2 linked regions of the Ovis aries genome follow. The protein of the gene in region 1 purifies or fractionates together with the protein of each later gene. This does not show direct contact. Links are inferred from orthologs where the notes say so. Each region holds a gene or a part of one and is shown in the gene's direction. Other genes may lie near its edges. The genes, in order: KLF6 and SP1.

Region 1 (4,305 bases):
CCCTACTAAGATTGGTTATAGGCTCCCTCTATTTATAACCCCACCTGCCCCAACAAGATGCCCTCTTTTTAAAAATAAAAATGTGTTCGGGAGAATCAAGAGTGCACATAACCCCCTCAAGAGCCAGGAGATCCAACTTGGGTCTTCCAGGCTACTCTGCTCCTGCAGGTTAGGCAGGCAGCGGGGGTGAGGATGTGGCACCGCCGTGGTCCCCCAGGTAAGTGCCCTGTCCTTGTGAGGGAGGCTGAAGGGGGAAACTCAGATTCATATACAACACAGCCCTGCGACTAGGGCCCTCCTGTCCCTCAGCACACCTGCAGGGCTGGTCAGCCCCCCACTCCGGGGTCACAGGTGCCACCTGGGGACAGAGGGGGATGGAACGGGGAGGGAGGGGGACACAGCGCGGGTGGTGGGTGCAGATGGAAACGGGGCAGGTACAGAGGGATAATGGAGCGAAAAGGAGGGGGGAAAGAGGGTGACAGACGGGGATGGAGACGGGAATCTACAGCTGGGCAGGAGGGGGCACCGAGAGGGTGGAAGGACGGAGGGGGATAGAGAACGGCCGGCCAGCCCGAGGTCGGAGCGAGGGACAGAGGAGACCCAGCCGCGCTCCCCTCAGCTCGGCGGAGGGTCAGGGGACCAGGGCCCGGGCGACAGACCCGACGAACGTGGACCAGGGCTGAGGGGACAAGGACGGGGACACGACGACGGGGAAACCAAGGCCGGGCCCGGGCGATGAGCCCGACGGACGGGGACCAGGGCTTCGGGGACGAGGGCTTCGGGGACGAGGGCTTCGGGGACGAGGACGGGAAGACCGGGGCCAGGACCGAGACCGGGACGAGAAGGGCAGGGACACCGGGTCCCCTCGGCCCGACCGGCCGCGGCGCACGCAGCCTCTCGGCCGCGCACCTCCCAGCTCCGACTCCTCCGGCGCGAGACAGCCCGCGCCTTATATACCCTGCTAAAAATAGCCTGCGAAACCGCCTCCCAATCAGAACCGGCCGAAGTTCGAATTCTGCCAATGGCGAAGGCGGTGATGGAGAGGCTCGGTCACGCCAGGCGGGGCCGCGGTGAGCCGCCGCCCGCGATTGGCCGGAGCTGACATCATCGCCGCGCAGCCCCCGGGCCGGGAGCGGCGTGATTGGGCGGCGCGCGGGGCGGGCGCGGGCGAGTCACGTGGGGAGGCGGCGGCGGGGGGAGCTGGGCGGGGAGGAGGGGAGGCTGGCAGCGGAGCTTTGAATAGGGAAGTTTTGCAGGGGTTACGTTTGCAGTCAGTCCGGTGTTTGCAAATATTGTGCGGGCTCGCGAGCGCGTCTCCGGGCTCCGGCCAGGACCCGAACCCGTGGCGCCTAATCGCTGCCCACTTGAGTTTGCATGAACTTCCCCGGCGCTGCAGGCACGGCCGCCGCGCTCCCGACTGCAGACTGCACGCCTCCCTGTTTTTACAGCAGCGGGGACGGTCTCTTCCAACCCGACATGGATGTGCTCCCAATGTGCAGCATCTTCCAGGAACTCCAGATTGTGCACGAGACTGGTTACTTCTCGGCGCTGCCCTCCCTGGAGGAATATTGGCAACAGGTAAATAAGGATTTTCGTGAGCCAGGTGTCCCGGTGCGCCGAGCATGGAGTGCGTGCATGCACCCGCAGGACGGTGTGAGCTTGGAGGTGCAGTTCTTTTTCTTCTTTTTTTAATGGTTTGGGTAAATTTTTAAAAAAAAATTAAAATAATTATTGTTAAAACGTACTTTTGCCTCCGGCGCAGAAGGCACTTTAAAGGGGCCTTTCAGAGCGTGGAGCGGAGTTGTCATCTGAGTGGGGCGCAGCGGCGCCGGGCGCTCCCCGTGTTCTTGCTGTTTTCTGGGGCTGCTGAACCGTCTCCCGAGCGTAGACCCAGCTCCGCGGCCTGATCTCGGCCCCAGCCCTTGGCAGAAGTTTGGTGCTTGTTCCAGCTCCAGGCTCTCCACAGCTGGACCTGGTCATATGAACCCGCATGTACTGCCAAGGCTATTTTTTCTTCTTCTTCTTCTTCTTTTTTTTTTTTTTTTTTAGGGATTTTGTTTTCGTTTTGCTTTTTTGGTGTTTGTACATACAGGTTTTTCTTTCTTTCTTTTTTTTACTTAAGAATTTCACCAGCGAAACACCCACAAGCTCCTTTTCTCTACCAGGCCATTTTTAGTTTCTTTACCTTGGGAATCCTTAAGATTTGCCTCCATCTGCCTTGTTTTTCTTACCTGCTTCTTTTGTTGACCAGAAAAAAAAAAGGGGGGGGGACCAATGTTTGCACAACCAGTGACTTATCAGTCATATGACAATGAGCCTGTCCGAATTGCTTCTAGTCTCAGTTTGGGAAGAGGAGTCTGTTTGCGGCATTTTTTAGTGGAATTGGAATTTGGGGCATTGGACATTTGAAAAACTCAATTTTTCCCCCTTCTCCTGCATTAGGATTGCCTGAAAGGAGAGAGATTCTGACACTTGTCCCATTGTCTTTAAAAGATAGGAGGGTTTTGGGGTTGTCTCTGCCCTACTAGGCTGTTTGCTTTTTGTCACAAAGTGAATTAGCAGATCGCATATATTCTGTGGGTTTCAAAGCTTAGAAGGCTTTTAAGGGGGATGAAATACAAAGTGGAACAACCTTCACATGCCTGCCTCATTGTTCACAGCCCTCCCTTCCCTCTCCCCTCCCAGCTTTTCCTACTAAAGAAGCTTCCTAGGATGTGATTGAAATCGATCTAAGTAGTTTCCTTGGGCATTTGGGATTTGGGCCACAAGCCAGGCTGAGCTCTGGGTTGCCTTCAGAGGCTTTTAAACTCTCCCCAAGAGCTTCATTCTGGTCCCCAGTGCTCCTAGGCATAATGGGGATTTTAAATTAGCCAGATTATTAAAGTTTAACAAGGTCTCAGTAAACATGCTTTCCTTTTTCTTTGGAACATCCATAAGATACCTTGCCAGTCTCTCCTCAGAACACTGGAGGGTGCTTTGTAACCTAGACGTCTAATTTTAGGGGTAACAAGAAAACAATGATTGTTTTTTCCCCCCTCTGCTTGCTCCTGCTTGCGGTGTGAAGAGTCTGGTAGGGGGAGGGGGGAAGGATATATTCTGATTGCAGACACCCTGCTAAATAAGCAAGGCTGAGCCCTTTGGGTGGGCTTGGCTAGCCCTGAAAATGATTTGCTTAAAAAAGAGAGTGGCGTTTGCTGTAGCAATGTAAATCTGTAGACTTGCAGTTGTATAGACAACCTTATATGGACATGTAGGCAGTTGATCCTAGTGAAGATAAGGCAGACATAATTTAATCCTAAAATGTTTCCTACCGTTTTTCTTTTCCAGTGGCTAGAAAGTTTGAGATGGTGGGGAGAGGGGATGCTGGTGTCTCGGCAGTTGTAGCTTCTGGAAAGGTTGGTTGTGGGGCTGGGGGGGGGCACTCTGTCCATGACACACTGCATGTATATTTGAACCGGGTCCTTTTTTTGGCCGCTGGTCAGAATTTCAAAAGGAAGTCTCCTTTGGCATTGCGTGAAAGAAATAGAGTGATGACTCATACAGTTGTACTCTTGGCCAGCAGATAAAGTTCTAGTCCACTGTGGGACTCCCAGCAGGGCCGGGAAAGGAATTTCCCCTCCCGCATCCTTTGCAAAAGCAGATGGCCATTCTGGAGCCATTTTTCCACTCCTGTTGTTGTTTTCCTCTGACCACTGTGGAAGTCATTTAAGTTGTGTGCGCACATGGCCCTGCACTTGGGAATGGCATTCTTTGAAAGCCTACTAAGGTCTGGGCTCCTCCACAGGAAACGGGTAGCTTCTGGGCAGCTCGGTTGATGTTCCTGACCCTAGACGTCCCCCTGGCTGCGTCTGCCCCGGCTGGGCGCGGCCTGTGCTGTCAGCGGTTCTCCAGAGGGGACGCATGGCCATGTCAGAGCTCACCGTGCTGCGGGCAGCAGGCCCGCAGAAGCAGGCTGCCTGGGTGTCCTTCATGCACAGGGTTCTGGAGGCTGTCTGATAATCTGGTTAAACCTGTTGGGTGGGGGTGGGGGTGTCGGAGGCTGGTGTCCTTTGTGTGGCTAACAGAAACTCATTAGAAACGTCAACACTGTAACTCTTAACAGAAGCCAGCTCCTCTGTGGCCATCAGCCATTCGTGGCCGTTGCGGTCCACCTCGGGAAAGCGGGGAGAGGCTTCGCCCTGGTTTTCCTTCTGAACGTGTCCCGTTCTTAGAGATAGCTCTCCTCTTGCTCTGCCACAGACACGGAGTCCTATAGTGGCAAGGCCACAGTTGATCTGCCCTTGGCTCCTGCATGTTTTGGTTTTT
Region 2 (3,810 bases), on another chromosome or scaffold:
GGGGACAGGCTCTTCAGGCCCTCCAAGCCGCCCCATTGTCAGGGCAGACCTTTACAACTCAAGCTATCTCCCAGGAAACCCTCCAGAACCTTCAGCTTCAGGCTGTTCCAAACTCTGGCCCCATCATCATCCGGACACCAACAGTGGGGCCCAATGGACAGGTCAGTTGGCAGACTCTTCAGCTGCAGAACCTCCAAGTTCAGAACCCACAAGCCCAGACAATCACCTTGGCCCCAATGCAGGGTGTTTCTTTGGGGCAGACCAGCAGCAGCAATACCACCCTTACACCTATTGCCTCAGCTGCCTCCATCCCTGCCGGCACAGTCACTGTGAATGCTGCTCAGCTCTCCTCCATGCCTGGCCTCCAGACCATTAACCTCAGTGCATTGGGTGCTTCAGGAATCCAGGTCCACCAGCTTCCAAGCCTGCCCTTGGCGATAGCAAATGCCTCAGGTAAGACTTGAAATCTTGTGCATTTATCTCTAGAGCTACTTAGCATCTCAGCTGAAACCACTGAGTCTAAAGAAGAGGGAGTAGAATCTTTTGAGGGCAGTGCTTCTGAGGGCAAGTCATTTAGAGAAATAGCAATGATTTTAAGTCATTTGGAGCTGACTTAATAAGAACTTTTTCCTCTTCAGTTAATCTGTCCAGAAAGGAGCATTTCTGGGCAGTGTCCTTGGGGTCTGTACTTTCAGTGCCTGGTACTACAGTACAAGAGTGGGCAAACTTTTTCTTTAAAGGGCCAGATAGTAAATATTTTAGGCCTTGTGGGCCACATAAGTTCTCAGTTATGTGTACTTTTTTGTTTCTGCAACCTTTTAAAAATATAAAATATTCTTACCTTGAGGGCTTTATTTGGCTTGAGGGTTCTTCTCTGCTGATAGGAATGGATTATAAACTTATCTGTAGGGTAGTTATTAAATCATCAGATATTTCTCACAAACTGTGAGAAAGCAGGGGAAAGCAGGGGAAAACTGATGGATTCCAAAGGACTTCAACAAACTAAGTTCCCTGGTTAATCTTTTAGTTAACCAGAAGAGCTACCCTTTGAGGTTTAATTTTTTCAACTCCTACTTAGCTTGAAAGTATTAATGTGTATTTTTAATAAGCTTCCTAGGTGATTTTCTTCTGTTTTGTTTCTTAAGCCTCCTAGGTAGTGATTCTAATACTTTCTAGATTAGAGAGCCACTTTCTAGACTGCTTTGAAACTAGTGTATGGTTGAAAGGTAGGAGAGAACAGAAGTGGGGCACAGAGTGGAGTGGGGAGATGGAATTGAGAGGAATTAGAAGTAAGAACTTTGAGGGGGAAAGAGAATTGTCAAGGAAGGGGATGTATATATTGGAATGTATGTTGAATCAGTTGACACTACTATTCAGTCATTTATTTTAAACTGTATTTTACTAGTATTGGTTAATTTGAAATTTAAAACCTCTATTTAAAACGGTGAGAATTTATTTAGAGTTTATCATTTTAAATTTCATGGTGATAGAACTAATCTTTAATGAAGCACGTTAGGATACATATGCATCTTTATATTCTGGCATGATATATAGAAATTATGATGAGAAGTTTAATACCACTGAACTTCTACTTCTGTTGGTGTATCTGTGGATTTGTTAATTGTTTACTTTTATTATAGAGTTCTCATTCTGTTTAGATTGGTTCTTATGTAAGAGAGGGTAACAAATAGGCAACCATATTTCCTGCTTCCTGCAGCTTAGGAAAATCTGTGGTGGGGAGTTCTGCTCAAGTTCACTGCTTTCTTACAGTCTTGTATGTTTAAAATTACTACATTTTGAGCCTTAACAGACAGAAATTTTGTTAGTGAATTGGAATTTTTAAAATAGAAGGTTAGAGCTGAAAGAGACCTTAGGAATCATCTCATACTCCTGCCTTATTTTCCCGATAAGGACTTTGAGATACTGGAAGCACGTATGTTATGAGACTACTCACTGTTAGTTCTAGTCTGGCGCATCCATTACCTATTAATTTTAACTTGGGACAAGAGATGTCATGTTTCAACTTGGGACATGCTTTAAATTGTTAAAAATCTTTTGGAAAATATATCTTTTGTTAGTTTGGAATTTAAGGCTAGAGAGCTGGCAAGTGTTTATAGACTAAAAATTATGTGAGTAGAAATAGGAAGAGTTTATAAAAACTGAACCTAACAGCTTTGAAAATTAGACACTTTCTGGGCAACCTACGTTTGTGTGTTTGTTTTCTCTTTGGTCTCAAGTTATTGAGATTGTTGCAGATAGTATTAATTTGGATCCTTGCAGTGTGTAAACGGTTGATAACTTGAGCTCCAAGGAACAGTTATGAGACACTTTCATTGCTAAATCATGGTCTGGGGAAGTCTGCCATTTACTTTGTCATAGGATAGGGCTACCTTCCTAGCTGTTATTGATGGTCTCTGAGCTCTAGAAAACGCATGCCTTTCTATAAGATAGTAGCAGCTTGACATTCACTAAGAAGAGAATGAAGCTCTGAAAGGCCATTTTGTGAGAGTTGAGATTGCTTTGTTAATAGTGGTTTTGAAGATATGTGTTTCCTCCTTTCTGGTTAGTCATAGTTGTGCAACATGTTTTCCCCTTCAATTGATCTGACTTCAGCCTTAATGAAAGATAATGCAGTCATTTCCTGGAAGCTTAGTGCTCTTTAGCTGTTGCCTGGCTGCTACAAAGTCTCTCATTTTACCCCTTTTTCTGGTATATAGTTATTTTATTAGAAAAATTCAGCCTCTTGGCAGTATGATGTAGTGGAAAGAGCGATTAATATGAGCTCATGTTGTAAGATAGGTAAGTAGATAGCATTCTGCAAAGGGAGCCATTATTTTTAAATGGTTGTGGAAGACTGCAGCTTCTGTGTCACTTAATAGATTTAGTCTTTTTTTTTTTGGCCCTACCGCATGGCTTCTTGTAGGATCCTAGTTCCCTAAATAGGGATTGAACCCTTACACCCCCACCTCCCACCTCTAGCAGTGAAATTGAAGAGTCCCAGCCACTGGACGGCCAGGGAATTTCCACATTTATTATTTTTAAAAGTCATCTTTTAAAACTTTTCTAAGTTCTCTTGTTGACTTTTATTATATTTATTTGTTAGTTTGAATATACAGGCAAAGGCACAAACTTAGACCCCAAATCAGCCACCCATCTCTGTATTCCTGTTTTTCACAGTTCTGCCACTGGTGGGTGATAGTGAAGTAGGGACCACCCGTGGAATGATCTATTGGCTCTTAGTTTTTGTTGTTATTTTTTAAGTGAGCAGCTTTTCCTTTTTTAAAAAATTAACACCCTGTCCCCTTTATCCTTGTATCAACACTCTTTTCCTCTCATTTGGTAGTTATACGCTCTGATCTCGGTTCTAGGTTTTTTGTGTTTTTTTTTTTTTTAAGCTTCAAGCTTCAGACTTTTTTCTCAGCCCTGGCTAAGTTCAAAAAACTCTTCCCCAAGGTTGAGGAGGGGCCAGTTTTGAAAGACTTAGTTTGGATGACTTCGTGGGAGTTCTGCCTAACAAAGAGTGCGGGACTGGGCTTTGGCAAGAGAATAAAACATATTTCCTTGATAGCTATAATTGACTCATGAAGCAAATTTCAGACACTAAAAATAAAAATTTCACATCTGCTTAGTTTTATTGGGGTCAGGAAAATGTCTCCTCTTAGAAGTTAAGTTGAATGCGATACCAGAGTTGGTCTGCCAACAGTGTCGCTAAACTTGGGGTCAGATTGCTGAGACCTATTTTGTTAACAGAGTTGTATTTTAGACTAGTTCATTTGAACATAAGTGTTAAGTGGGTTTAGTTGGTTTAAA

Evidence for each region.
Region 2: the proteins of KLF6 (region 1) and SP1 purify together in Homo sapiens (affinity purification with western blotting, with the first as the bait; 3 studies listed by BioGRID). This does not show direct contact. The link is inferred for Ovis aries from reciprocal best matches to the Homo sapiens genes KLF6 and SP1.

The regions. Positions count from the first base shown.
Region 1 is NC_056066.1:44,181,106-44,185,410, forward strand, and holds the start of KLF6 (Krueppel-like factor 6), read left to right. Parts: upstream 1-1,267; 5' UTR 1,268-1,374; coding exon 1,375-1,578; intron 1,579-4,305.
Region 2 is NC_056056.1:133,122,290-133,126,099, reverse strand, and holds part of SP1 (transcription factor Sp1), read left to right. Parts: coding exon 1-453; intron 454-3,810. UniProt on the Homo sapiens protein: Transcription factor that can activate or repress transcription in response to physiological and pathological stimuli.